4 linked regions of the Lepisosteus oculatus genome follow. The protein of the gene in region 2 purifies or fractionates together with the protein of the main gene of each other region. This does not show direct contact. Links are inferred from orthologs where the notes say so. Each region holds a gene or a part of one and is shown on either strand. Other genes may lie near its edges. The genes, in order: rbbp6, cpsf6, srpk2 and ncbp3.

Region 1 (7,692 bases), on a different chromosome or scaffold from region 2:
TGCTTCATTGCCAACATGATCTTAAGCGATCATACATCGATCTGTACAACAGTTTGTAGGCAATACTCCACCCGCTTTTGAATATCAAATACAGTGCATTAACCTGCACAAAAACCAATTTACACACAGGTTAAACAAATGTGCAAATATTGAAATTAAAAAGGTAAACCATTCCACAAAATACATTGTGTTACAACAAACTATTACCAGATGTTTATCACTTCACATCAGAGGAAGTTTAAACATTTTTTTCTGAATTTCAGATACACACTTATGTGCTTAAATGACTAGAATAAAATATATTTAACAAATAAATGAAATTGTGAGTTTGTTTTTTTACATACTGCTTTTGAAGGTCCACTTGGAGGTTCAGAACGATCACTGGAAAGCAAATGAAAAGAAAAAGATTATCTTCAGACGGTTTCTATCACAGCCTCCTTATAAGATCAGTCCAGTTCATGAAAAATCACAGTGCAAACTACAGAAAGCCTTACGAATAAAAGCTGTTGTAAGCTACTTTCAACGAGACTCCAAAGAGAATTGGTAAACTGCCCACAGAGGACAGTAATAGAACAATTTACCATCATCGCTGTAAAACATTTCCCCAATAAACTAAAGAGATCAATTTATGTTTCACAAACCACAAATGAAGACTACTGGCACTCAAGATGATCACTAATCACAGCCTGAGATCATCCCTTTAACACATTTTTTGCACGTGTACTGGTAAATTTAATCCCACTACCTGCCAGACTGCTGCCAATTCATGAATCACCAAAAACACACCAAATTACGTCTACCCAGTCGAATCAAAACTGGGTTAGGGCTTTAATCCCCCAAAATGGAATGTCTCATTCCCACTGATATCAAAGGAAATCCATACTTACATGACAAATGTTTTGCTTGCAGTTTTGACCCCACCAATAGGAATCCTTCTGATAATGACGGAGGAATTCTTGGGGATAAGGGCGCCATCGTCAGTGTACTCTGAGGAACCAAACAACAGGATAGTTTGAATACCGGCGCCTACTGCTCTGTGAGACTCAAAAGAACGTGGTCCCTGAAGTCAACTCTGGAAATACTTGAATAAAGTGACTGCAAACTACTGATGGTTACAAACAAGTGCATCAAACCACTCTCTGGTTGTGCTTTGGGCCTGTCCCTGAGACCATCAGACAACCGAATAAAGGTGCCGACAACCACCTTGCGAGAACATTTTCTTAGCAACGCACCACCCACAGGGTGCACATCTAGACTTCACCAGACAACTCACCCAGCAGAACTGCAAGATCTACAGCGCGTTTGCTGTCGCGCACTTGACAACTGTCGGCAAGGGAACAAAATGGATGCCTTCAGTCCCGGCCAAGTGCGACCTGAAGGGGTCACTGGCGGAGCATGTCCACGGACAACAACCGCTAGGCCCGGACGTTTGCAATCCACCTCTTCGACCCGCCGGCCATTTTCCCCGTCCCCAGCCCGTCTCCAAATATCACAAGCGATCGTGCGATCGCCATTCCGACCAGATCAAAAAATGCAACTTGGAAAAAGCACTGCTACCCCTCCTGGTGCTGTTTTTTTTTAAATCAAGTAATGATACCTGGCGGATCTAAGAGGAAGCGGGCTCAAACTGGTCCAGATGTGCCACACGTGTATCGGAGACGTTTCCGAACTCGGACGGGACCCGCAAGTTCGGGTGCGGGCTCGCTTGAAACGCCAGCTCCGAACACGAACCCCCAAAGCCAAAACGGCGATGACCGTTTTTTTTTAACCGATTACCGGCGACAGTACAAATCCAAACACACGCTCGGCACAGAGCCAAGACGACCACGCTGCGCGTTTCGAAGCGAGTGACTGTCTTACCTTCCTTGGTCTGCGCGTTAGTGATCTGCAAGTCGCAATCCGCAGCCTTCAGCTTCTCTCGGCCCATGATCTGCCGCTTCAGGTCACACAGCGTAATGTGCAGGCCATCAAACGTGACCGTGTCATAGTTAAGTTTAGAAGAAAATTTATAATGGACACAAGACATTGTTATAGCAGATTACACTACCCTGGTTCGTACAGGGAAACAAAATAAGAACGTACAATCAGGTGTGTCAGATAATGTGCCCTTTCCGCTCGCTAGAAGACGATATGGCATTACGCTTCACATCCGCGGAGCCACAGAATCTAGCACAGATCAGCTAAATGAACGGGTTTAATTGAAATCATGAGTTACTGTAACGTAACGGGCGCTACCACAACAAGCACAAGACCATCAGTTTTAGTAGTCATACGGCAATGTTACGAGTAGATGTTGAAAGTCCACCATAATTCAGAACACCCCCCCACCCCCCGTCACGGGGTCCCAGATCTCCTTCAGACAAAACGTCCAAATGAATTTTCTTCGGCAAAGGCTGGCTTAAAAAACATCCAACCGTCAACGGCGCACGGTCCCGCAGCCGCGGTCTCTAAACGGGCCTTGCGGCGTCGGTTTGCTTCAGAGTCCGCGCAGACAGGCCGGCATGGCGGGCGGGCTCGCCAAGTCTCTGGCTTCGCCACGGGGCTGATCCGACAAGTCCGAAACGACAGCGCAAGCGAAAATAGGATTGATCCAGGCTTAGGAACGATAAACGGAAGTGCGCAGTCCCCCTCCTTCACTCCCAAGAAGGATCCGTTCAGTCCACTGTCGAAAATGAAACAAAAGAAAAAAAAAAAGAGAGAGCGAGGCCTAAAATGGCCTCCCTTTCTCTCCACCAAAACAAAGACGGCTATCAACAGCGCCGGCTCCGTATGGCAATACAAACAATTCCATAACCCTACGGTATTTCACAAAAACACATCTACCCTCATACAACCCCCCCACCAAAAAAAAAAGAAATAACAGTCTATATCCCCTGGCTGTAGTTCACAAGAAGAAAGTTAACAACTGTTGACCGCTTCTTCGAAAATCTACAACGCTCCCTCTCCGCTCCCTTCTGTGTCACTATGGCGGCGCCTCCGGACACTCAGGGGTTTCCAAAAGCAAGCGCACGGGGCACGCAGCGGGACGTCATAATAGCAACGCGCTGCGTCACAAGAACGGACTCTACGTCGTTTGGCGTAGCCGGCGTGTGTAGCCCGCGGGTCACGTGAGGTTTGAACCGCATTCAACCGTAACTTTTTAAAGAAAAACAGGTTTAATAAGAGAGCCCTCAAAACAGTTGTTTTTTTTGCAGGATTTAACAAGATGATATAATGGAATAAAAGAAAACCCTCTCATAATGCATATATACTCAGTCCTTACTTTTTCGTTCTTACAAAATACTATTCTAAATAGGACAATTTCGTTTAAAAATGGAAAAAGGACTAATGTAAACGGATTTTTCCACTTAAGTACGAAAATAAAAATTTCGAAATACAGCAATAAGCTAGACCTAAAATAGGATTAATCAGAAAAGATCACTGCATTATTTTGCATTTTATATTTGCATTATTTTGTCGTGTAATAACCTCAGCAGTGAAAAATGAAAAAGTGTCTCAAATTCTAGTGTCTCCTTGTATGACCTGCATAGTTTATTTTTTACCGTGCAACGCCAAAGAAATCATACATACAGTAATGTTAGTGGAAATACTACTTTTACCATTACTAAATGTCCAGAGTTTAACACCAGGTTCTTAATGTATGACAATATATTAAACAGCTTCATACTGGTCTCGGTTTTCTTGAGTTGCAATGTGCTGCAGTTAAGCTCGTCAACATCTGTTGCTGCGATTTTACCTGTCAACCAACCCTGCCCCCCCCACACTCTTCAAACCAAACAGGTGCTCCTCAAAGTTAGTGACGTCTCCCAGAATGGAGATTTCAGGCACAGTCAGTCCTATAGACCAGCTGTGTCTAGCCCTAGACAGCCTCAGTCTGTTCTATAGACCAGGTCTGTTTAGCCCCACTCCTGAACAGCCACAGTCTGTCCTATAGACCAGCTGTGTCTAGCCCTGAACGCCTCAGTCTGTCCTATAGACCAGCTGTGTCTAGCCCTGAACGCCTCAGTCTGTTCTATAGACCAGCTGTGTCTAGCCCTGAACGGCCTCAGTCTGTCCTATAGACCAGCTGTGTCTAGCCCTGAACGGGCTCAGTCTGTCCTATAGACCAGCTGTGTCTAGCCCTGAACGGGCTCAGTCTGTCCTATAGACCTGCTGTGTCTAGCCCTGAACGCCTCAGTCTGTCCTATAGACCAGCTGTGTCTAGCCCTGAACGGGCTCAGTCTGTCCTATAGACCAGCTGTGTCTAGCCCTGAACGCCTCAGTCTGTCCTATAGACCAGCTGTGTCTAGCCCTGAACAGCCACAGTCTATCCTATAGACCAGCTGTGTCTAGCCCTGAACGGCCTCAGTCTGTCCTATAGACCAGCTTCATCTAACCCTGAACGGGCTCAGTCTGTCCTATAGACCAGCTGTGTCTAGCCCTGAACAGCCACAGTCTGTCCTATAGACCAGCTGTGTCTAGCCCTGAACGGCCTCAGTCTGTCCTATAGACCAGCTTCATCTAGCCCTGAACGCCTCAGTCTGTCCTATAGACCAGCTGTGTCTAGCCCTGAACGGCCTCAGTCTGTCCTATAGACCAGCTGTGTCTAGCCCTGAACGGCCTCAGTCTGTCCTATAGACCAGCTGTGTCTAGCCCTGAACGGGCTCAGTCTGTCCTATAGACCAGCTGTGTCTAGCCCTGAACGGGCTCAGTCTGTCCTATAGACCAGCTGTGTCTAGCCCTGAACGCCTCAGTCTGTCCTATAGACCAGCTGTGTCTAGCCCTGAACGCCTCAGTCTGTCCTATAGACCAGCTGTGTCTAGCCCTGAACGCCTCAGTCTGTCCTATAGACCAGCTGTGTCTAGCCCTGAACGGCCTCAGTCTGTCCTATAGACCAGCTGTGTCTAGCCCTGAACGGGCTCAGTCTGTCCTATAGACCAGCTGTGTCTAGCCCTGAACGGGCTCAGTCTGTCCTATAGACCTGCTGTGTCTAGCCCTGAACGCCTCAGTCTGTCCTATAGACCAGCTGTGTCTAGCCCTGAACGGGCTCAGTCTGTCCTATAGACCAGCTGTGTCTAGCCCTGAACGCCTCAGTCTGTCCTATAGACCAGCTGTGTCTAGCCCTGAACAGCCACAGTCTATCCTATAGACCAGCTGTGTCTAGCCCTGAACGGCCTCAGTCTGTCCTATAGACCAGCTTCGTCTAACCCTGAACGGGCTCAGTCTGTCCTATAGACCAGCTGTGTCTAGCCCTGAACAGCCACAGTCTGTCCTATAGACCAGCTGTGTCTAGCCCTGAACGGCCTCAGTCTGTCCTATAGACCAGCTTCATCTAGCCCTGAACGCCTCAGTCTGTCCTATAGACCAGCTGTGTCTAGCCCTGAACGGCCTCAGTCTGTCCTATAGACCAGCTGTGTCTAGCCCTGAACGGCCTCAGTCTGTCCTATAGACCTGCTGTGTCTAGCCCTGAACGGCCTCAGTCTGTCCTATAGACCTGCTGTGTCTAGCCCTGAACGGGCTCAGTCTGTCCTATAGACCAGCTGTGTCTAGCCCTGAACGGGCTCAGTCTGTCCTATAGACCAGCTGTGTCTAGCCCTGAACGCCTCAGTCTGTCCTATAGACCAGCTGTGTCTAGCCCTGAACGGGCTCAGTCTGTCCTATAGACCAGCTGTGTCTAGCCCTGAACGCCTCAGTCTGTCCTATAGACCAGCTGTGTCTAGCCCTGAATGCCTCAGTCTGTCCTATAGACCAGCTGTGTCTAACCCTGAACGGCCACAGTCTGTCCTATAGACCAGCTGTGTCTAGCCCTGAACGGGCTCAGTCTGTCCTATAGACCAGCTGTGTCTAGCCCTGAACGGGCTCAGTCTGTCCTATAGACCTGCTGTGTCTAGCCCTGAACGGCCTCAGTCTGTCCTATAGACCTGCTGTGTCTAGCCCTGAACGCCTCAGTCTGTCCTATAGACCAGCTGTGTCTAGCCCTGAACGGGCTCAGTCTGTCCTATAGACCAGCTGTGTCTAGCCCTGAACGCCTCAGTCTGTCCTATAGACCAGCTGTGTCTAGCCCTGAACGGGCTCAGTCTGTCCTATAGACCAGCTGTGTCTAGCCCTGAACGCCTCAGTCTGTCCTATAGACCAGCTGTGTCTAGCCCTGAACGCCTCAGTCTGTCCTATAGACCAGCTGTGTCTAACCCTGAACGGCCTCAGTCTGTCCTATAGACCAGCTGTGTCTAGCCCTGAACGGCCTCAGTCTGTCCTATAGACCAGCTATGTCTAGCCCTGAACGGCCTCAGTCTGTCCTATAGACCAGCTGAGCACTGAATGGCGTAATCAGGAGGCACTAACACACTTTCCAGATGTCTGTTCCTTGGCCATTCCTCGTCGCATGTAAAAGCTGCAGAGCTGTGATTCTCCAGACCCTGGCTGTGGATCGATACGTGAGTGTTGCTCCTCGGCTTTGATAACGGAAGGCCGGTTTCTTGACTTGCAATGATCATAACAGGCTGAGGTTGTGCTGCTTTTAGTTGTTGGAGGCAGAGAAAAGTTTTGGTGTGTGAGCTGCAGAAAGCTGATTTCTGCAAGTGTGGATGGTATTAGGCTACAGATTTGGAAGTGGAAGGCTTGAGAGAGCTAAGTTGCCTATTGTCTTGCTGCTGTGTGCCAGGGCCTGCGGGCACCTCAGCCATCAGGAGTCTGTCTACAGTTCAACATGTCCACCCTCGTCCAGCTGGTAACTGTCCACCCTGTCAATACTCCTGAAGTCTCCCGCCACCCCCCTTCTCCCTGCTTGAACTTTATTGCTGAGCCAGGTGTGTCTCCACTGCGCACTTTGAGCCCAACTGAGATTAAACAGCGAAGTACATTTTGTTTAGAAGATTAGTAGCAATGTACTCAGCCCAGGGGGATGTGTGTGTATGGGCAGGGGAGGGATACAGTGTGATGTGCAGTTTTCCTATTTTTGTAAATACTTACGTATCTGCAGGGAGAAGGTGTATGAAGCTCTGGTGGAGGCCAGGGACCGGGGCAGCATGGTGCTGAGGCTGTGGGAGGAGCAGGAACTGCAGGTCAGAGCTAAATCTTCACTCCTGGTCCCGGAGGGCTGCAGTTCACCAGCTTCTACAGGTCAGCGAGAAACAACCTGGGAACACTGGTAATGAAGACGAATCATGTGGGAAAATGAAGTCCAGTCATTAAGAGTCCAGGGTGGAATGAAAGCCAGGAGATACTGTGGCTCTCTGGGGCCGGGAGTGAATATTGGTGACCTAAATAGTAAAAACTGTTCAATGGTCCCGAATCTTGTGCTCTTTACTTTGGCTTCGTCTGGTATTCCACTGATCGATCTGAATGCACAGTTGGAGCCCAAAACGTGGCCGGCGCAGTTGCGGTTTTTGAAAGAGCCTCGTCCGGTCGAGCGAGTTCTGTGCGAGTCAGCGGCAGGTGGTGTCCAGGTGTTGTGTGCCCTCTCTGCCACCAGGTGGAGCTGCAGGCCCAGCTGGACAGGCCGCCCCGGCATGAAGCATTTAAGAGGCTTTTTCAAAAATAAAATAAAACGTGGTTATTGAGTGGAATAAGCTGGCCGCTCACCGTACAGGAAAATCGAGGCAGAGCCTGTGGTCCCAGTTAGTCATTTGTAACTCTTTCTAGTAAATCAGATCTAAAGGAAGGTATGATGATGTCATGAGGCGGATCCAGTGACATCACGGGCAGCGCCGGTGT
Region 2 (7,803 bases):
ACTGGGCAGGGCATGTCTAAAAGAACCCACGTTCGACACCAAATGTTTGAACAGGCCTCTTCACAAGTGACTTTTCAGATTTCTGAAATACTGACAGTAAACCAGAGTGAACTGAGGCCTACCAAAGTACGCACGTCCAGTTTGAAGCAGTCACTGTCTTATATGAAATGCAGTACTAATAAAGACCACCGGAAGGATAGTAATGTCCCCTGTGGACATGGTATGTCCTTTCCCAGCACGTTATTCTGACCTACAGTATTTCTGTCTTCATGCGATACACCCCTTCCAAAAAAGCAGTTTGCTGAAAATCAGGCCGGATGTCCAGCCTTAGGATTACCGCGCCAGGCCACCTGTCATCTCGAGTGTGAATATGCCAACGCAAATGCTGAGCCTTCATCGGATTTTACTAAGGACCAGCAGCGTCGAGTCCTAGTCCCCCAGAATATTGTTAGCTGCAAAAGTAAGATGTTTAGAAGGCATGAGTTTCTATAGTGTGGCAACGACATTAACCCTGTCAAAAAGCCCTGCTTAAAAACACCCGCCTCACTCATGACCCCCAGGTCCAGCCCGTTGTAACATTGTGCTTCCCTGTTCGCCGAATATCTGCCATAACCAGGAGGGCTGAGCTGTGAATATACAGAAGCTCTCCAGCTTCCCAGGGCTGAGAGGGCAGTGTTTACAAACCTCAGTGCAGGTGAGGCCAAAGTCTGCACAAAGACTAAGGAAGGAGTACCACCCCCAAGGAAGGAAAGAATAAACAAGTGAAAGGACAATTTAGTCTCTGATCAGCCTTGGGATCGAGTCTGGGGTAGGGGTGGGGGGGTGTTTACAATGTGGAGGTTGCATCTCCCCCCCCCGGAGCTCGGCGACGAAGTCGCCCATACGTGTGCACCCTACTATAGACCTGCAAACCCCCCAGAGCTCGGTCTCCACCTTGTGACCTTCGCTTCCAAGAGTCCAGTCTGCCACAGCTCTCACCACCTTTCTGAAGATGGACGGACAGAGGGAAACTAACCCCGCTGCCCGATCTAATTCCAATCGCGGCGGAATGCAATAAATGCTTAACTATAAAGCACCCTGAACAAAGTTTTGACTTGTGATAATCTGATGAGTACTGGACACTGCGTAAGTGTATCAGTGTATTATTCAGTCCCCCCCACCCCCCAAAAGAACGAATACTCTCCATCCGCCACACCCCAATAAAATTGGAGGCAGCACAACTCGATAACACACGGAAGTACTGCAGTACCAAAACGCAACACACTGCTAAGAATGAGCTCTGCACTCCGAGACCTAAATCACCGCCACCGAGGTGGGAACGCACTTCAATCGCTTTCACGCTTTAGAAGCCGCAGGCGCGCAAACCATCACGACGTACCGCACATTTTAAAAATGTCTTTTCCCAGCACAATTATTCACCCAGATGCGCCCGGCTGAAATTATACACTCTCGGAACTCTTCGTACAGTAACTTCGGGGATTCAGCTCCCGGCGCAATTGGGATCTCACAACGAACAAACACAAACCTTAGATGTTAAATCTGAGGGCGCGGGACGCAATCAGAAATCCCCACAGTACACAGTCCTTTGAGACCGATCACTCCTGGACAGTGTGCATGAAAATTCTTTTCAGAAACGGCCTGGGCTGATGCCTACATAACCTAAACCACTAACTGTGAGAAGTTTTAAGATGACTTCAACGACAGCAGGTCTGCAATTGAAACCCGTACAAAAACTACCTTGATTTTCTGGTACCGAGAACAATAGCATTTTGAAAAGCACGCCAACCCAGTAAGGAAAGTCACGATTTCAAGTTAAAGGCTGTAATGAGACGCTTCAAACGAGCTCTTAGCAGACAGAAAACGCCCCCCCCCCCCAACTCCGTTCCAAGTATTTAAGAAAGACCCCCAATTTAATTTACAGCTCACAGAACAAATCTATGCAACAAGATTCTCAGTGCGATCGCTGCAAACGCTTAATGAAAGTTAAGACGAAAATGTGTCTCAGCAAAAATAAGATTTGGGTCTACTTTATACGTTGCACAAAAATACTTAATAAATGTTGAACATGCAAATTGAGTATCATGCATTCCGAAACGTGCGAACAACCGAAGAAACGCCAAAATAATTTTGAGCACATCTTAATGTGTCCATGAAAGTATTACACGCTGAAAACATCACCCTCAGAACTAAACAAAAGGAAGCACGAAAATGTCAGCGGCGCCAAAAATTATCGCAATTAATAAAAACGGTGCACGTGGTGTTTACGTCGCAAGAGTGCTATATTTTAAATTTCGTCAACATCACGTTACGTCTGAGGGGTCATATTACACTGGGATCGCTTACAGCTTCAAAGCATGCAAACAAAAACAAAAGGTCAGCTACACGCACCGTTTTAATTCTAGCCCTGTGAATACTTAATGCTTTAAATGAACGGTGATCAGACTCCGGCGAGGCGGGAAGGGGGGGGTATTTCTAAGCCCGGACATTTGCTCCCCGAGGACGTGCACGTCCCCGCGCGGCTCACGAGCAAGGCCTCAGCCCGCGACACAAACAATGGAAGCGCTCCCACGCGCCGCGCCGCCCGCCGCCGCCGCCGCTCGTTCTCTCTGCTCCTCCGGGAAACTCCGGCGGGGCGCAGCGCCGAAAGACTGGGCTCACCTCCCCCGGCTCGTTAAGGGCACCGAAAATCCAGGGTGCTGGGCCCTTCGCTTATATAACCCTTTAATCTAAAAAAAAAACACTCCCTCGAGGTCTTTCTCTGAACAAAAATAGAAATCCTTTCTATAAAGGTGCATTAAACAAACCCAAACACGGCTGTCCTTTTTACGGTCTTCCAAACGAAATTGCAATTCTGCATTACGCACCGAGAGGATAACAATAATGCATGCTCACCTGATTAAACTCCTCGCCAACATCCGCGTAGATGTCGATGTGATCCACACCGTCGGCCATTTTCCACTCTTACCTCCTCCTCCGACTGGCTTGAACCAGAATAAAACTGCTAACAGGAAAACACTGCGCGTCACATCCGACGGTCGGCCAAACACAGAAGAGAGGAGGAGGGTGTAAAGACTTCGGCTCTTTTTTTTTTGACTAAGCGTAACAAGTTGCTGCTTTTTAACTTGGTTACGATAACAGAACTTCACAAACTATTCTCAATTATGCAATTTAGGAGATGTCGATACCGGCTCGCTAAATATTCTCTTTAGGCAAATCAAGGTCATAGTGTGAAATTCTGGAAAATTATCTAAAATGCACAGTTATAATTATTAATTTAGGTGGCGCCGTTAATCCAACATGTACATGCAAAAATGTACACGTGAACGATAAAATATGAATAACATGATAATAAAATGATGTGATAAGAGCACACGACCCACATAATCAAATATACAAAATAAGAACCATTTTTAAATCAGTTTTACTAAAGCAATAATACCACAATGCACAGGGACAGATATTATTGTATACTGTATGTAATGGGCTCACGAATTCTCCAGTAGACCTAACAGTAACATTCCACACAGTCGTATAAGCACTATCGTGTGGTACAGTTCCTTTCTGGGGTACAATAGATGACGATTCTTAAAAAAAGGTTCGGTTATTTTAATGTTTCATAATACATGAGCGCATGGATTAAAATATTGATCGAATTGTTATGGAATATTGGTGTCAAGACTTTACAGGCAAATTTATAATAATCTATAATTTGCACAGCGGTGTGTAGTGAAGACTATCGTACAATCTTGTGTCCAGCGATTGTAGGATCGATTCTAAAAATACATCAAAGAAGTAACGAGTTTAAGTAATTTTTCCACAAGGTGGTGCACGGTGATCATGGACATCTACGGCCAACATTTTCACATTTGTTCGTATGTTCATAAACGGACCCCTTTCAGGGCTGTTTTTTATAAGATCACTTTATTAGCCATATACAATTTCTTGCATTACGAATTCATCTTTTCGCATACCCCAGCTTGCTTTCCATGAGACACACAGACATGGAGAGAAGCTTGGGGTCAGGGCTTACTATTTCAAACATGACAGAGCGAAACTCTTTGTATTTTGAAGACGGCTTTTGTACATTTCACCTAAAGAATTTATCGTGACCTAATTGCCCATGGTATAGTTTCAGAGAGTCTAGTTACAGAAGACCCTAAACCCTAAAAATTATGATCAAGAAATCCAGGAGTCGAGTTAATTTGCACCTGGGAAAATATCGGTAAATGTAGCACAAAACAAAAGAGGTGTAGTCCTGCTAGGAATCTCAGAGCAGTTCCCTGAAATAAGTGCCCCATTATTTGCAAAATGCAGATTTTGACAAGTGTGGGATTATCTGAATAATTTCTGCAATGGTGCTTTGTCTGTCATATACCGTCTATGTTGCTGCAAAGCCAAAGATTTGTGCAGAAGGGGGTATCTGTATCTATATTAGATTGTAACAGAATCCACAGTCACAAGAATGGGTTACAACAATACAAATGCACTGTAATACACTGTAATAAAGTGTTATACATAATATGTATAAGAATAATGTCAATAGTTATTGACAATAACATTTCTTTCACGTTAATTAAATACTGTACTTCTTCATCCTGCCAAGGTTTCTTGTTAAATCAATCTAAAACTAATCTAAAATAGAGGGTGTGAAAACGTCTTTCTTTTAATTCTATAGATGATTCTATAGATGCTCATGTACACCCTATATTTTAACTTGGGCTAGTAAATTCAATTTAAAACTGTATTTTCTGGGATGACTGGTTATTAAGTATCTTTATAAAATATATTATAATCAAAAAAGCATACTTTAAGAAATTTAATTTGATACACATTAACGATTAGCACTGGACACTGTTAGATAAGGTTAGTGCCAATACTATGTATTCTATTGAATACGACTGTAACTGTATTCTATATAGACCTACAATGTATCACTTGAAATATCTGTTAATTTGACTATCCATTGTGAAAATCTCTTTGACGTCATACGGTACATCTGGGATTGGGATCATTAAGGTTTGATGCATTTTGCACTAACATCATGTAGAGCATTGGCTCAACAGTATAAAGAATAAAGCAAATTAACTAGATATAGAAGAAAGTGTTGAATTGGACGGCATGTGGTTTTTTTTTTACAATAGAGAAGCAGACGAGGTAGTCCAGATATCTAGATTGAATTCAATTCTGTCTCACACCAAGCAAAAATCTAATTCTGGTTAGGATGAGATTCAGATGGGTGATGTATCAAACCCACTAGCAGTTTTGAATTAAGAAATTTTAAGAAAACTGCCAGGAACATGAGTCATCCTATTACGGGAAACATTTAAACCACAGTGAGGGAGTGAAACTGGAATTATATCAAGAAATACATGACATGTAACGGGAACAAATTCACAATTACCAAGCAAATGACAAACCCCAGACATTAAATAATTTTAAAAATATATATATATATAAGTGTATACACAGCATCCAAAGAGTCGCAACAAATTCAGAAAGTGTCAGTTAACTGATAATGTTTCTTGTAGCAGCTGTACTAACATTTTATTGAAGAGACAAGACAGGCAAATTCATTCTGCTGGTTAATACTGGGCATCAGCAGGACTGAACACCAGGAGGGTCCTATTGTGCATGTTGTAGTCTAGTAGAGTATGTAACCACTTCTGATGTGTGGCACATACACTGCAACAGGCTGCAGATGTTGTCTTGTGGAATCCTGTCCCATTCCTGTCCTAGAGCCTGAACAAGCGTGTACTTTGGTCTCTCTGCCCTAGACGCCCAATGTCATCTCTGTCATCATCCTGCAAACTGCCAGTGGGGCTCAAGTTGGCAGAAGGGCTCTGGAGCACAACGGTCACATTATGGTCAGGAAAGCCATTATCACGAGGAGCGTGGGAATATGTTCTGCTGGAAGTGCTGTCACTTTGGGATGAGCTAGCAGGAAAGGCAGCACGTGAGGACCCAGGACTTGATCAATATAGCGCCTTGCAGTCAGGTTGCCATCAACTACTGTGCCACACTCACAGGCATCCATCAGACATTGTGCTCCACGTAGATTCATGTCTGAAGAGGTCTTGACTCCACAGCTGCTGAGTTCATCTGAGGCACACAATCAGCTCATCACCTGTGTCCAATAAACTCTTTCACTGAAGAGGGGATTTAGTGATTATGTAACAAAGTCACTCAAAATAAGATCACTTTATTGGCCATATAAATTTATTGTATTAGGAATTTGTCTTTTCGCACACCCCAACTTGCTCTCCATGAGACACACAGTACAATACAATACAGTACAAACTCAGTGAAAAACAGGTACACTAACACATCTCCAGAATGGAAACGAACCCAGGACTGCGCTTTCTTAAGGGTTTAATGGCTTAATGGTTTAAAAAATAATTGTATTAATATCCCCGTTAAAGATAGCACCTGTCTTTTTCAGTTCCCTTTTTTTCCTTTGTAAACAGACATGGTTCGCAAAAAGAAGCTTTTTTTCAAACAAGTTAAAGCACTTGACCAAATGCAATAACGTCCCACGGACAATAAATGTTTCTCCCTTGAAATAAGGTGACGTAGTGTCTGCCACTATCACTGCAGCCACCGTCATAAAGAAGTTTTTTTACAGGCTGTCGCAGACTGAAACATTAAATTAACTGGTGATGAATAATTCTAGCAAAGCAGTCTATGTGATTTTGGAAGACCGTCGCCTCTGGTACCGTGGCTGCAGATCTTTGCACATATACTCCACACAGACGTAACGTCAAACGTCCAGGACGTTTCTCATTTAATTGTTTAAAAGCAGAACAAAACTCAATTTTTCTTCTCCAAAATGAACTTTTCTAAATCGTGTCCACTGCGCCCTCTAGTGGTGTTCCGCCTGTCACCACGCAGCATTACAACGGTCATTTTTAGAACGGGTATGAAAACAGCAAGACTTCAATTTACGGAAAAGACAAACATCAAGGAAATAGTAGAAACAAGCCCTTTCGTCGCGTGATTCCATTTGTATCACACCCTAAAAACAGTGTTCAGAAAATAACCTCATGTTAAGAGGACAGAACTGTAGAATTGAGTGCAAAGTTGGAACACTGTTTGAGTCTAGCCCATCCGAGGATCTCCTTCCAGCTGTTTCTTGTCTTCTGTTTTCAGTACACTTTCACCTAGTTTCTAAGCACCATGTAGAATAATGTGTGCATGTGTTCTGGTACAATTAATGAATTTTACTAATGCACTCTTCTTTTTTGTTGTTGTTGTTCCTTATTGCTATTTAGCTAGTCATCTTTGCTTTAGGAAATTCTATGCCATGTTCCTCCAAATACATTTTTTTCCAGAAACCAGGACTCAATGTTTAATGCAGCATGGGCACATTTTCATCTATAGCTGGAGAGGAGGTTGATACCCCAAACATCTGCTGGATAACATATGAAAATAACAAGGCATTAAACAAAGCCAGCTACATCACTGATGGAAATGACAGCACTCCAAAACCAAACACCAGACCTGAGACGGGACAGGCATGTCTACTTTCCCATAACAAGTAGAGTAATATTTCGATAATGCTTTACTAAATATCAGCGTCTACTGTACTTGAGTGCTTTGCTAAGAGATATACTTGTCCTTGTGGTACAAACAGGCCTGTTAATTCACATAGCAGGTTGTCCAATGAATATACCCTCCCAAACAAAAAAGCAGAACAACAACAAACAGTTTCAAAAAGAGTCTCAGAGATGAGCTAACAATAACCGACATCACAACCTCAAGCAGCCTACTTCGAAGAACAATAGGATCTATGACTTTTCATAGCTT
Region 3 (7,075 bases), about 25 Mb from region 2:
TAAAAGAGACACAAGAGCAAGAGCAGAGGAAACGATATGATCAAAGGGGAAAACACATGGGAGTAGAACACTAGTTCGAGCTTCTGCGCAAGAAAACAGGGAATCGTGAATCCGCATAATTTAATTCACCCTGGCGTGCCGCTTGGGAAACAAGTTCTGAATAGACAGAACTTTATATTCCGAAAGGGATGCCATCCCACATCCACAACACACTTCCAAGAAAATAATTGCCCATAGATAGGTTTGCGAGAAAACCTGAGTGAACTCGTCTTTGCGGTTAATTAACACTTATTACGTGCACAAGCTAAACGAATGCCAACTCCTGTGAGCTGGGACACGGCTATGTGCCCGTGCTACACAGACACTTCAGAATCAAGCAGTTCCTTTTTTTGGGGTCCTCCTGAAGCTTTATTTTTTGCCCATTTTTTCCGGTTGAAAGTTTTAAAAGCCACCTGGCAGGTATCCACTCTTGGAGACTCACCGAGGGGCAGTTTAAAGAAAGGCAAGCGCGCTCGGACCACCAGGACATCGATGACAGCAGCAGACGGCCTCTCCCCCCCCGTCCAGGCCCTGGCCTCCTGGTCACCTACACCTGCCCCCCACACACACACACACACACTCTGCAGTGTCACAGGCGGCTCACTCACCCCGAGCCCCGCTCCCATCCCAGGGGGTGGCGCGCAGGAGGGAAGGAGCTGGCTGGCGCGGGGTGTGGGCGCGCCGGCCCGTGCAGGAAAGACAACTGGACCGGAGCTACAAAGCGCGTCTTTGCAAGAGTTGGTTTCAGAAGGGGTGTAGAGTGTGAGCATGTGTGTGTGGGGGGGTACCGACTGAGAATAATAAGAAGAATAATTCCTCACACTTATATAGCGCTCTTCTGGACACTCCACTCAAAGCGCTTTACAGGTAATGGGGATCCCCTCCACCTCCACCAGTGTGCAGCCCCACCTGGATGATGTGACGGCAGCCATAGTGCGCCAGAACGCTCCCCACACACCAGCTCTCAGTGGGGAGGAGAGCAGAGTGGTGAAGCCAGTTCACAGATGGGGATTATTAGGAGGCCACGACTGGTTAGGGCCAGGGGGAAAATTGGCCAGGACACCGGGGTTACACCCCTACTCTTTTTGAGAAACGCCCTGGGATTTTTAATGACCACAGAGAGTCAGGACCTCGGTTTTTCATGACAGTTCATAACAGGAGAGGAATTTTGTTTCTGTTCTTTAAGGGGAGTAAAGGGGACAACAGAGCAGCCCTGCTCCCTCGCTGCTCCCCGAGGGGGGAATTTCTGCAGGGCCCGCGGGGTTAGGGTTCCTGTCGAATTCTTCCTCCCACCCCGCTGAATCCACTTCGACGGGATTCAAAGAAATTCTCATGGCTTCTACACGTTTTTCGGGTTATCCCGCGCGAAATCAGGAAAGCTGGAGGCAAGCAGACAACCAACAAACAGGCAGATGAAGAGTTCAGGTCGGAGTTCACTTCAGGAGTCGAACTGACAGCCCCCGGGTCGCGCAGAGGCCCGAACAGCGAGGTTCCAGCGAGCAGGATTTGGGAGCCTCTGCACAGACAGACGCTGTGCCCAGGGATCCCGTTCACAAGCCCGTTCTGCCCCAGCCAGCGCCGTGTCAGCCCCGGGTGGGGGTGGGACGCCAGCTCATGACCATGACGTCACCCGGGCTCCCCTGCCCCGGTCCCGCGCGTGGCGGAGCCTCGAGCTGTGCGCGCGCGAGCAGAGCGCCTCTCGCCTCCAGCATCACATCGCTTCGGCACGGCGGCCAGGCGCTCTTGAACGCGGAAGCATTCAGAAACACGGGACCGGCACACCGCTAGAGCTGCTACGTTACCGTCGCTTGCGTATTCAGTGTTTTTTTTTCCGCCCCCACCCAGCCGGTTTTGGGTGAAACTCTCTCTCGCACCTCTCGCACCTCTCGCACCAACGATAGATGTCAACGTCAGTCAATTCTCGTCTTGCAGCAGCGGAGCCCTGTACACCCCACCCCCCTCTCCGAACCACCAGCAGGGCAGCAACTCGGCTCGGGGGCTCGAACTGCACATCACCTCACATCACAGCCCGGTCCGGCTCCAGCAGCCCAGCGCCCGGGCGAGGAGGTGGTCTGGGCGGGCTGGCACCAGCGGTAGACGCGGCACAGCCTGTCCCGCCGGCTCCAGAGCCACCGTCCTCCCCCCCCCCCCTTTGGGGCTGCGGATCGTTGCCAATAGCAACTTCCGACACCACGGCCGGGCAGCCCCGGGAAGAGGAGTCGGAGCCGCTACCCCGCTCCCTCCCTCGGCACCCAGGGCACCACGACACCCCCCCCGCTCCGCCATCGCGTCTGTGCGCCGAGTGTGCCAGTGTCAGCTCCCCCTCTCCCGCTGTCAGCGCTGTCAGAGGGGGCGCCTCCGCCGCCGCCCTGCAGCCCCGGACCGCTGCCTACCTCCGCTGATGGGCTGCCTTGTCCTTCTTCCCCTTCGGCCGCCGCTTGCGGGCCTGGATGGCCAGCACTGCGGTGGGGATCGCGGGAGGGCGACCCGGGAGCCAGGCAGAAGCAGGGGAGGGAGAGAGAGAGAGAGAGAGACGGACAGACAAGAGCGACACATCAGTTTGCCGGTTTCAAAAGCATCGCCCGCCCTCCGCACCGCCGCCACCACCGCCGTGTGGAGCGCACAAACACACCCGAGCCCCCCGAACCTGCCCCCCCAGCCCGGCCCAGGACGCCCGAGGCTTTGCGTAAGAAAGACAGCCGGTTACCCTTCCGAGAGCTCATGTTGGTATCCTTCTCCACCTCGGCGAAGGCGGCCGGGATCTCTCTCTCCGTCCGTCTCTCTCTTCCCTTCACCGCCTCTCTCGGGGATGCGCGCTCCCCCGGCCGTCGTCGGGAGGCGCGCACCCTCCTCCCAGCCAGACAGGGGGGACTCGGGGGCGCGCTCCGCTGTCAAGACCCAGCGTCGCGGGCGCGCGCAGGCTTACCTGAGCCGAGGCAGGTGCAGCGGGAGAGAGAGCAGCGGTTGGTTGTTTTGGGCGCGCGTCCCCGGCGCGAGGTGACGGGTGAGGTGATCGTTGTGGCCCGCAAAACAAAAACGATGACGCAGGCAGGTCAGTTACTCGTGGTAACGGCGACCCGCGCGCCGAACGGTTAGTCTCCGCGGTCCGAAAACAGCGGTTCACACCACAGTCTTGGATTTAACCGCAAAGTGAATATATGAAAAAAAAAAATAGAGCAGTATTCCCGTTTTGTGTTGCCATGTGATCTCCAATATTTACAAAAGGTCCCGTGCTCCGAGATTGTATTTCAATTAATGTAGCTCTGGAAGTCCAGGAACAATTGAAAATAAATGAATAAAGTGTAATGTGCTGTTTGTGATTAAAATATTGCGCGGTATTACTCTAATTTACTGCATCGTTGTGTTGAGGGCGGTGTATTGGATTTTTAATTTCTATAGTTCGTGAGAGTACAGCGGTGAGGACAGATTTTGAGGTGTAGTTGTGCTGAATCATTGTATACACTGCACGACCTGAACTAAGCTTAATAAAGGTCAGAGTAACAACACAATACAGTGAGGATTCAACGTCTGTCTTTTATCCGACAATAACTAGGAAGCCACGCACTGAGGGAATACTAGTTCTTGTGGTTTTAAAGAGATTCGAGCTCCCAAACAAAAGACATCCAAGAAGATTAACAGTTCTAATCCATCAAAAGGAGATACAATTGTTTCCTTTCTTTCCCATTCACTTTTCTTCCGCGGAAAGCTAACACAGAGTGCCAAAAGGCATACACTCTCCACATAAAGGCCTTTAAAAGTGTGTGGGAGTCTCTGAAATCGGGCATCTGTATTGTTTCAGGATTTATATTTATCATTTTGTTCTACCTTTTAAACCTTTAAACTTGTGGTCCTGACTAAGCTCTCATTATAGGGCAATTGTAAGAGCTGTGGACAAATTCGGTTCTGTGGCTGCACGATCCTGTCTCCTTCAAGTGCCTCTTTCCTTCAGTTGGTGAACCTGTTTCTACCTGCCGCCCTGTGTGTACCTGGGGCTGCTGGGACAAAATGGGAGCTGCACATCACCCAGGTGAGGCAGCACTTCAGGGGTGAAAGAAGTGGGTCTCTGCTTTGGGATGAAGAACTCAGCACACATGTAGTTGTATTTATTATTATTATTATTATTATTATTATTATTATTATTATTATTATTATTATTATTATTATTATTATTATTATTAAAAGGAGAAGAAGGGGTGTTTTGTTTCTTTTTGTTTTGTATCCCTCAGGCTACTTTAATGTAATGCCCATCTGAATAATCATCATCATCATCATCATCATCATCCTTATTATTATATTGTGCCTTTAACCGTATCTTTTCAAAGCACTTTAGGGGAACAGTAAAAAAACAGATAACACAAATGAAAACAGCAACAAAGGAGATAACAAAATTAGCACAAAGCAACACAAGGGATTAGAAATGCAGTAGAAGACGCCATTAGCAAACACAGACACCAATTCAATACAAGCCTTTCAATACAAGAAGGTTTTGAGTCTGGACTTCAGCATTGCTATCCTTGGGGATAGATTTCCAAAGCTGTGGGGCGTAGCAGAAGGACTTGTCAACTGTGGAGTGTAAACGCGCTTGGGGAAGAAAGGGGAGACCAGAATCAGATGAACGAAGATTTCGAGGTGGGGAGTAGGAAGATAATAAATCGGACAGGTACTGAGGTGCCAAGTCATGCAGAGCCCTCTAGGTGAGCAGGAGGATTTTGAAGTCGACACGAAACCTGCCAGGAAGCCAGTGCAAGGCCTCCAGGACAGGAGTAATGTGATCACTTGCACGCAACCAGGTCAAACTTCCAGGTGCTGAATTCTGGACATACCAAAGTATGTTTGGTGTGGATCTAGACACCTCAGTGAGTAGGGAGCTGCAGTTATCATTTCTGCAAAAAATGAATGTGTTAACCAGCTTTGCTGTTAATTTAGAGACAAAAAATAAAATGTGTTCTGGCAATATTTCTAAGATGGAAGAATGATATATTTACAATATTTTGCGCATGTATGTCAAAGGTCAACAACCCCAAATTCTTTTTTTTTTTTACTGAGATTCAAGCACAATGCCGTCCACATGTAGGGTTACTGAATTGGCCCTGGATACAGTAGTTGAGGTGCTGATAAGAATCACTTCAGTCTTGTTGCAGTTTAAATGAAGAAAACTTTGGGTCATCCAGTATTTTATGTCAGAGCTGCAATTAGAGAGCACAGAGACAGCTGCTTCAGTGTCATGTTTAGGCTGCACGTAGATTTGAGTATCCACTAGTTAAGAAATGATCATTCTGACCATGTGATTTTAAAAAGTGACCAAGCAAGAAGACCTAACTGCAAAACAGTAGGTAAAAATGCTGCATATTACAGTATAAATTGGTCCAGACATCAGTTGCTTTGGATAAGCACATTACTCAAGTGAATTAATAAAAATATTATTGTAGCATAGTGCAGGGTTATTACAATAGCCCGCTTTCCAGTCTTACTGCATTCTATTGTATTATTGCTGCCCACGGCAATTCGGCTATTAAAAATAATCATAATGTTGTCATGGAAAAAAATGACTTCATATCAGGCAATTCAGCAGAGCTAGTAATAACAGTTCAGACAAGGCGTGCACTCACTCGGTCCTTCCCTCATTGATAAGATGAAGCTGTGTAGCTCAGAATAATTCCTGAAAATGAGCTCAGATTGTGTAGTTTGGCTGAGCCACGTGGCATGAGTTTTCTGTCCCAGCCCAGCCAGTATTCCCTCTGTGCCAGGCCTCCTAGTTATTGTCGGATGAAACTGTGACCTGGGAGTGTTATCTGGTTGCAGTTCTGCACAGTGCTGTCCTCTCATAGGGTCATTCTGTCCACCACGTAAATGGCCTCTGTCCGGGGAAATTAGAAGTATTTAAATTTCCTCTAAAGGCTTTGACAGAAGTCCGTGCCGGGTCTTGTGGTAGACCCTATGCGATGCGGTAAGAGCTGGAGAAAACAGCAGGCGTGGTAAAAGGGAACACACAGGGGTTTAATAGTGCACAATAATAGTGACAGTCCGTGAGACAGTGAACGGGGGAGACAAAGAACGGCATCCAAATCAAAACAGGTCCAAAGGCAGGTCAGGGCACAGTCCGGGAGTCCAGCGGCGAGTAATCCATCCTGGGACACGACAAGGTTAAAATCCCTGGAAGGGGGGAACACACGGAGAGACAAGACACAGAGGTCCAAGGGTGACGGGGCGGGATCCTCCAGACCCCGGGCTCAGGAAGCGGGAGGTGTCGGGGATGAGGCCTGTGCCCTCAGGAGACGGATGTAGGGTATCCTGGTGCCAGGGGGCCCTCGTGACATCCGTACCCTAATGTTGAGCCCCGAGGACTGGAGGAGCTGGTCTTTAAGTAATACACATAACAAGATACACCTGGGGAGTTAGCAACAATTACAGGAACAATAACGAGTGGAGCGCCCTCTAGGGAGGGATGTCGGGCGTGACAACAAGTGGAAATACAGATGGAAGTGCATTGAACACAGAGAACTGAGAGTTATAACTTTCTTTACACAAAAGGTTGTGGGAGTATGGAGCAGGATATCCACCCATGTTTTTGAAGCTGATACCCTGGCTTCTTTCAGGAAACAGCTGGATGAGATCCTCGGATCAATTACCTACCTCTCGTTTGTAACCGTTCTTATGTTCGGGAGCTTCGTGAGACAAATACCACCAGACTTCACACGCCGCCTAACCCCCAGCCAGAGCGCATGAGCATGGACGTCATACGCACGATTGCATCAGCTCGGTCCGGCTGGATCAGACACACTCATCGTGCGATCCCAGCCCCTGCGCCCAGTGTGCTTGGTTTTTGTTTTTGGAGTTTCTTGGTAGTCGGCTGACTGAAGACTCTCCCCTGACACCCAGCTCAGAGAGGAAGCAGCCGGACCAGACCTGCGGCTGGGCAAGAACCGAAATGCCAGGGAATGGCAGAGGGGTTGCGGGTTCAGATCCCAAGTGGGGTGCTCCTGTCTTGCCCATGAATGAGGTACTTTGCTCACATCTGCTGTGTAAATGGGTCTTT
Region 4 (7,309 bases), on a different chromosome or scaffold from region 2:
ACATCTCAGCAGACGGTTGTAATTCTCTGCCTGAAGGCTGAAGACCCTCAACTCACTAGGCTTTTTACTGCTGGCCACTCTCTGCAGTGCCTTCTTGTCTGCGTCTCTCATGAATTGTTAAAATTCTTTCTGCGACGCTTAAGGTTTCACGCAGCACTGGTCCCTTAGCTCAATCCAGGCTACCGCATCCTTAAGGCTCCACATGCAGGAATATCCCAAGGGTGGATTTAAAAAAAACTTTTGGTGGCAGCTCTTTTAGGTTGTGGGCTCCCCGTTTATGCCGTTCCCCTCCTGCGTGTATCAAACTGTCTTCCCATCATTCTTTTGTCTGAGCAGAGACTACAATCTCTGCCTTTGTGAAACGCATCCAGTGCCGGATTTCCCATCAGGCTCTGTAGGCACAGTGCCCAGGGCCTAGGAAGGAGGGAAACACTAGTGACTAACAAAAACCGAGCTGAAACAACGTGCTTGCGATCGACTCCAGATGCTCCAAATCAATAATCATGCGCTCTCTAGCAACTGCTCTAGAAACTAGAAGTATGGAAGTGATGGGCGCTCGGCTTGCTTCATCAATCAGGTGGTTTAGCACTAGAACAGTTTAAAGTGCATCGTGTCAACTGGCGTTCAACCCTCTTTTTGCACATTTCAGAGTGAAAGTGCCCAGGGCCTACGGACACCACAATCCGGCACTGAATGCATCAGTCAGTTCTTTCCTAAGGGTGCTGTCGTTTCAGTTACTAGAACTTCTGCTCCTCGTAGTGGGCTTCTACACAAACTGTACCCTATTGGTTAACCCTGCTTTCTTCATCTACATACTTTCACACTGTTACCCTTTTAAAAGAAAGAAGGAACGGTGGGCTTTATTTACACGAATGGGGAGGACTGTATTTCTAAGGCAGCAGCTAAGCCGGTGAAGCGGTGCAGTGGCTCTGTGGCTCAGGATCTGCGCCTGTGGCTGGAAGGTTGCCGGTTCAAATCTCGCGACCGGCAGAGGAATCCTACTCGGATGGGCCCCTGCGCAAGGTCCTTAACCCTTGCTGCTCCAGGGGCGCTGTATAAATGGCTGACCCTGCGCTCTGACCCCAAGCTTCTCTCCCTGTCTGTGTGTCTTATGGAGAGCAAGCTGGGGTATGTGAAGACAAATTCCTGATACAAGCAATTGTATATGACCAATGAAGTGATCTGATCTGATCTAAACTGTGAGCAGTAACACACTAGCGCGCTGCAGCCAGCACACAGAGCCCAGCTGAAGGACTCACCCTTCCTCATCCTGTCCCGGTCCAGCACCACGTTCCTCTGGGCCAGGTTGACCTCGGCGCGGAAGTGGAACCGCCGGGCCCGCTGTTCCTTCTTCTCTACGGCCTCCTGCGAGAGATTGGAACACCATGTTACGCAATCCCTGCGCCACAGCCGCAGCCAGGAGGGGAGGGGCGGGACACGTCTGGGCTCAAGGACTCTGAACCACGAGCGGACCAAGCGCTCTGGACAGGGAGGGAGCCCATTCAGACTCGGGGCTACAGGACTGATTAATTAATAATAATAATAATTGCTTACACTTATATAGCGCTTTTCTGGACACTCCACTCAAAGAGCTTTACAGGTAATGGGGATCCCCTCCACCTCCACCAGTGTGCAGCCCCACCTGGATGATGCACCAGTCCTCTCCCCACACACCAGCTCTCAATGGGGAGGAGAGCAGAGTGATGAAACCAGTTCAGAGAGGGGGATTATTAGGAGGCCATGATGGGTAAAGCCCAGGGGGAAATTTGGCCAGGACACTGGGGTTAACCAGGATGTTGACTGTTTCATTAATACTTGGAGCTCTGAGACGTAAGACCAGGGACCAGCGATGTCTTCTAACTGCTTCAACCAGTTCAGGGGAGCTGGAGTCTATCCCAGCAAGGCTTAAGGCAGGATACGCCCTGGACAGGACTCCAGTCCATCGCAGGGCAATCACACACACACACTCTATCCGAGGTAACTCATACAAACTCCACATAGACCGCACCCCGGGTCGGGGACGGATCCCAGGGCCCCAGCGCTGCGAGGCAGTAATACTGACCACAGCGCCGCCAGACCAGGGAGCAGGAAACAGACGCAGGGCACGGAAAGAGCAAGGATGCCCGTACCTTTGAGGTGACATCGATTCCCGTGATAAAGGTCCCAGCTTTGTTCTCGTAGCGCCGGCTGGTGTCCTGTTGAGAAACGTCAGCCCTGAGTTCAACACGACAAAACCCAACCCGACCCTCCAAAAGGCAGTTTACAAAACAGGAAAGGCGGGATGGAGCTTTTCGACAGTACGATAAAGGGGAATAAGCAATGTAAAGTTCAATATTTTGAAATAGACCCAACCCACTCCGACGCAACCCCTAGTCATAAAGGTAAGGTACCAGCACCTCATCGCTCTGAGACACCGATTATAAACACATTTGGGAAAAAGATTCCATCCCGTGGCCATTTCTGGAAAGGCTGTGCTTCAGACTCGATCTGCTCCTAAAGCTTCAAGTACTCTGACAAAACTGAAACTACACGATAATCCCTGAGCCCAGTTAAAAGGACCTGATCTCATTAACACTCCTATTTACAAAACATTCGAGACACCAATACCACAATTTTAACTGCTCCTTTCACAGAAAAAAAGCAAAACCAGCAGGACAACATTGTCATTAAGCAGTTGTTACCACCGATTCTTGGAACGTTGTAACCCCCCTGGTCAGCCACGCCAGCCCGGCCTTGCTCTCTACTGGGGACCGAGGTCGTGGCGCGGCCTTACTTACCGGTAACAGCTCCTTCAGTGACCGGCGGACCGGAATGGACTCCAGTTCCAGTTCACCTTCTTCTACCTCCATTGGCTCCGGTTCGCGGGAATCCCGGTCCGAGTCGGATTCAGAATCTGACTCTGAGCGATCGGACCCAGCTTCTGACTTCACCGAGACCTGCAAGCTTCGGACGGCCGCCATCTTCCCTTCGCCTCAGCCCAAACAGAGCGGCCGCACCAACGACAGCGGGAAGGGGGAGAGAGCGGCACCTTCGGCACAGCGCGTCGCCGCAGCGACACTGCCACCCAGCGGCGGCGCCGGGGACTGGCGGCAGCACGGCGGAGCCCTCGACCCATTTACAAACTGCGAACCGGGAAACTGAAGGAGTGTAGTTTAGTGGTACGAACAGAAAGAATACTCTTAATACAAGATTTAACAACAGTGACAGGGCACATATATGAATTCCAATCCTAGAATGAATGATTACGCCTTTAAGTAACTGAGCCAACAGCAATCTGAACAGTGACTCACAAAGCGCCGGCCGTCTGTTCTAACTGTAACTCGCCATCTTCATTTCTGTGATGTGTTGTCTTTATGAAATTCGTGTATTTTAAGCGTTTAATTAAGAAGTAAAAACCGTACGGCGTACACAAAGATTCTGGCTGATCACGAGGAAGCAAAATCACCCGTTTTTCGCGCATAAAAAGTGGTTATTAACTATCGAAACCTGTTTTTATAGGTTTTAAAGTAGTGCAATGTTAAGGAACGCATCATTATATCTAATTTTTTATTTATTTTCTAAAAATTTAAAAAATCGTTTGCCCAGCCTGGATTATATTGCTTTTCTTTCTGTTGTGTGCTTGAACGCCAGAAGGAGTCCAGGCGGCGTAACTTAATTTTCTGCCTATCTCTTTCCGCTGGGCTTTTATAATTTTAACTCTAGTTAGCTTTCTCTTTGTTTCCCAAATTCCCCACATTCAGAATCCGAAGGAAAACCAAACTCCCACAAACGGGCAGACTAGAAGCGGCCTGGCGCAGTGTCCAGTGTCCGGTGTCCAGTGTCCAGTGTCCGGTGTCCAGTGTCCGGCGTCGCGCCAGCACGAGGTGTCAAGTCGAGGGGTGAAGGGGCGCGTGTCTCGGGCCACAGAGCAGTGTGCTCGCGCGACGGCAGCGGTGCTGTGTGGTGGTCCCCCGCGTGACTCGGGCCCTGGTTCGCGAGTGTGCGTGGATGGGGCTCGGACAGGGATGTCGAGGCGAGCAGAGCGTGAACTCCAGCTCCGGCTGGAAGGGAGCCGGCAACATCCCTTCCTGGGGTAAAAGCCTTCCGCAGCCCACGCCACGCGTGAACGCGAGGAAGGTCTCCCCTTTTTGTCCGGACTGTAGGTCAAGGCGGACCGCGACGGTACCGGTCCGCCCTGAGCGTCACAGTCACAGCCGGCGTTTCGTTTCAGAAAAGCCTCTGCGCTCCCGAGCGCGTCCACAAGGTGGCGCCGCTCGCCCACGTGTGTTTTCTCACGTTCCTCGAATTCGGCGTCTCCCTGTAGGTTTTCATTGTGTCCCGTGAGAGTAACCCGCGGGACAGTCGTGCTGTCGCCGTGTGAAGGGGCCTGATTTTGGCGTTTGTGGAGAACCTTTCAGCAACATGATACAGACAGCAGGGCCCTGATCATGTTCCTCATTTTTCATTCTGGAGGCATTTCAGCACCAGGACTGGACAGCCTGCTCCAGGTTTTCACTACCCGGTTTGCGCTTCACTCCAGATGGTGGAGAATCCCTCCCTCTGGACCTCAGGGGAGAGTGGGGATGGAATTGGGAAACAGGCCACCTCCTGCTCAGGCAATTCAGCTGTTCACAGAGGCTCAGTCTGCAATACACAGACAGCAGCCGTATCACCCTGCCACTCCCAACTGGCAAACCCACTGGAGCTCAGCAGGTGTGAGCCTGGCCAGTACCTGGACGGGAGACCTCCTGGGAAAAACTGAGGTTGCTGCTGGAAGAGGTGTTAGTGGGGCCAGCAGGGGGCACTCACCCTGCGGTCCATGTGGGTCCTAATGCCCCAGTATAGTGACGGGGACACTGTACTGTAAACAGGCGCCGTTCTTCGGAGGAGATGTAAAACTGAGGTCCTGACTCTCTGTGGTCATTTAAAATCCCAGGGTGTCTCTCAAAAAAGACTAGAGGTGTAACCCTGGTGTCCTGGCCAAAATTCCCCCTGGCCCTTACCAATCATGGCCTCCTAATAATCCCCATCTCTGAACTGGCTTCATCACTCTGCTCTCCTCCCCACTGAGAGCTGGTGTGTGGGGAGAGGACTGGCGCACTATGGCTGCTATGGGCGGTGGGGAGGAGGCTCAGGTTGTGATCATCATTTAGCGCTGCTGACAGGCAGTGAAAGCGCTGGACTTCTAAAGGGTGCTCCGCCCGATTTTCCACTCCGTCAGAAGAAACCTGTGCCTCCTGTGACCCAGCGCGTCAGTTTACAGCGTGCTGCCGGAGGGGCAGCTGAGTGACCCCCGTCTCCGGCTGGCCTCCCCCTGCCCACAGCCAGCGGCCCCACCCCCCCTTCCCGAGCTCGTGAATTTCCCAGAAACCCGCCTGCCCTCCAGGCTCACCCCTTGTGCACCCGCCAGCTGGGATCGGGTCTCTGGGAGCTGCTGGGTGTGGATCATGGATACTGGTGTCTGATACCCCAGTGGCACAGCACTCCCCCGGGCCTCTGTGTCACCTGTGGTCACATGTGTAACATGATCAGCTCCAGCCTCCCCAGAAGAAGCATATCACACAGCTCCCCGGCCGTGTGTGCGTGGGCAGCACTGGGGGAGATACTGTGTCCCCTGGCCCCAGTGCCCTATAAGGCTCTTCCTGATTTAATGGCAGCTGGAGAGAGTCCAGCACCCCCTTCCGCAAAGTCTGAGTGACACAGGCACATGTCATGGCTGACAAACCCTGACCTCTGAGGACACCCAGCCCTGCTCTGGTGCTGCCGTGATGGTGAGTGCTGATAACGCCCAGCTCCCTCTCCGGATGTCCTTGTAGAACTAGCAGACACCTCGAGATGCTTCGCCTGTGGTCCAGACTCTTTATTTCTGTAGCCCTATTATCTTGGTTACTGGTGAAGGGTCAAGTGATCCAAATGGAAGGCACTTCAAATGTCTGAAAAGGGGATCCAGCTCAGGCCCCATGAGCCTTAAGTCCCCATGTCAGGACAGGGCAGTAGGATCTCTGGGGACTGAGCTGTGGCATCTGTGGCAAACCAGTTACAGCAACTCAATCTCACGTTAACAAGCTGATGGATCGTCATTCGCTTATCCATACGGTAGAAATCACGTCCGTGAGTTTCCTGTAGGCGTCTCAAAACTGCTCTCAGAGGAGCAACGGCGTCGGTTCAGAGTACTTGCAAGAGCAATTGTGTGAAAATGAACTTTTTAACTTTTTAAACTTTTGAACTTTTTTCTTGTGAATTGACCTTAAAGAGAGCGAGTAGCGTTTAAAGGTTTTATGTGTTACTACTGTTTACAGTATCTGAACTGGGAGGGTCTCCTTGGGCCTTGATTTGAGGTCCAATTCAAGACAGATCAGGTGACATTTATTATGTTTCTCATAATGTACATCCTCATGAATGTTAATATAACTGTAAGAAAATTTACTTATGGAAACAAATTGTTAGAAATGTTGTTCAAAGCTGAGCAAAAAAAAAAAGAAAAGGACCCGTTGGGGAATTGAACTATTAAGTTGTAGACAGTCAAACCTGTATTGCACTTTTTTCACAATTTTCAAAAGACATTTTCTTACATATCCTGTGTTTTAAATATGAAGCTATGTTTTGTGTATCTGTAGTGTCATAGGTTAGCATTTGGCAGCTGTTATTTTTATGCACTGCCTGGCTTGCCTGTAATTGTGCTGTGCTTGCCTGCAGGCTCTGTTCTGACCCAGGTACAGCAGTGAGCGCTGCTCAGCTGCAAGCTCCATAACCAGCAACGCAGGAGTCCCGAGTTCAACATCAGCCCCTACAGCTGGGGGCTTTTTTTTGCAAAGGAAAATAAAACAAAACTTTCAAACAGCGCAGAACTGTCCCAGGAGGCAATTTTGAGGCGGGTCAGAGAACAGAAATTCGGGAGGATGGGTTTGACAAGGGCTCTGTTGCCAGGGAAGGAACAGCGACTCCACACCCCGCGATTCACACAAGTCCAGGGGTCCCCTAGTGCCACAGAGATTGTCCAGGGGTCTCCTAGGGCCCTCAAAGACTGTCCAGGGGTCCTCTAGGGCCTCTGAGAGTGTCCAGGGGTCCCCAAGAGACAACCTCTGTGGCCCTCTGGGACCGCCGGACAGTCTCTGCACAACACTTACAGGCTTTGTTTAACTGGAGGGTCCTCTGGGAGAGACGTCAGACAGTATTGACATGTTTCTGTCAGGTCTCTGGGATATCTTCTTAGCTGTGCTCTCCAGCTCCTCTGTTGTGTCCAGGCAAAGATCTTCTCATCTCAGGGCTTAGTTGCCTCCACCGACTCCAAGCTCCCCTGTCTCGTGAGTTGCATTTCCTGGCTATAAAT

What was found.
Region 1: the proteins of cpsf6 (region 2) and rbbp6 purify together in Homo sapiens (affinity purification with mass spectrometry; 3 studies listed by BioGRID and IntAct, with this or other methods). This does not show direct contact. The link is inferred for Lepisosteus oculatus from reciprocal best matches to the Homo sapiens genes CPSF6 and RBBP6.
Region 3: the proteins of cpsf6 (region 2) and srpk2 purify together in Homo sapiens (affinity purification with mass spectrometry; 3 studies listed by BioGRID and IntAct, with this or other methods). This does not show direct contact. The link is inferred for Lepisosteus oculatus from reciprocal best matches to the Homo sapiens genes CPSF6 and SRPK2.
Region 4: the proteins of cpsf6 (region 2) and ncbp3 purify together in Homo sapiens (co-immunoprecipitation; 3 studies listed by BioGRID and IntAct, with this or other methods). This does not show direct contact. The link is inferred for Lepisosteus oculatus from reciprocal best matches to the Homo sapiens genes CPSF6 and NCBP3.

Annotation. Positions count from the first base shown.
Region 1 is NC_090714.1:11,894,604-11,902,295, reverse strand, and holds the start of rbbp6 (E3 ubiquitin-protein ligase RBBP6), read right to left. Parts: upstream 3,005-7,692; 5' UTR 2,027-3,004; coding exon 1,861-2,026; intron 988-1,860; coding exon 888-987; intron 382-887; coding exon 345-381; intron 1-344. UniProt on the Homo sapiens protein: E3 ubiquitin-protein ligase which promotes ubiquitination of YBX1, leading to its degradation by the proteasome.
Region 2 is NC_090702.1:23,479,121-23,486,923, forward strand, and holds the start of cpsf6 (cleavage and polyadenylation specificity factor subunit 6), read right to left. Parts: upstream 3,003-7,803; 5' UTR 2,953-3,002; coding exon 2,893-2,952; intron 1-2,892. UniProt on the Homo sapiens protein: Component of the cleavage factor Im (CFIm) complex that functions as an activator of the pre-mRNA 3'-end cleavage and polyadenylation processing required for the maturation of pre-mRNA into functional mRNAs.
Region 3 is NC_090702.1:48,123,973-48,131,047, reverse strand, and holds the start of srpk2 (SRSF protein kinase 2), read right to left. Parts: upstream 3,021-7,075; 5' UTR 2,763-3,020; coding exon 2,747-2,762; intron 2,500-2,746; coding exon 2,433-2,499; intron 1-2,432. UniProt on the Homo sapiens protein: Serine/arginine-rich protein-specific kinase which specifically phosphorylates its substrates at serine residues located in regions rich in arginine/serine dipeptides, known as RS domains and is involved in the phosphorylation of SR splicing factors and the regulation of splicing.
Region 4 is NC_090721.1:10,765,909-10,773,217, forward strand, and holds the start of ncbp3 (nuclear cap-binding protein subunit 3), read right to left. Parts: upstream 3,008-7,309; 5' UTR 2,961-3,007; coding exon 2,778-2,960; intron 2,196-2,777; coding exon 2,130-2,195; intron 1,366-2,129; coding exon 1,260-1,365; intron 1-1,259. UniProt on the Homo sapiens protein: Associates with NCBP1/CBP80 to form an alternative cap-binding complex (CBC) which plays a key role in mRNA export. NCBP3 serves as adapter protein linking the capped RNAs (m7GpppG-capped RNA) to NCBP1/CBP80.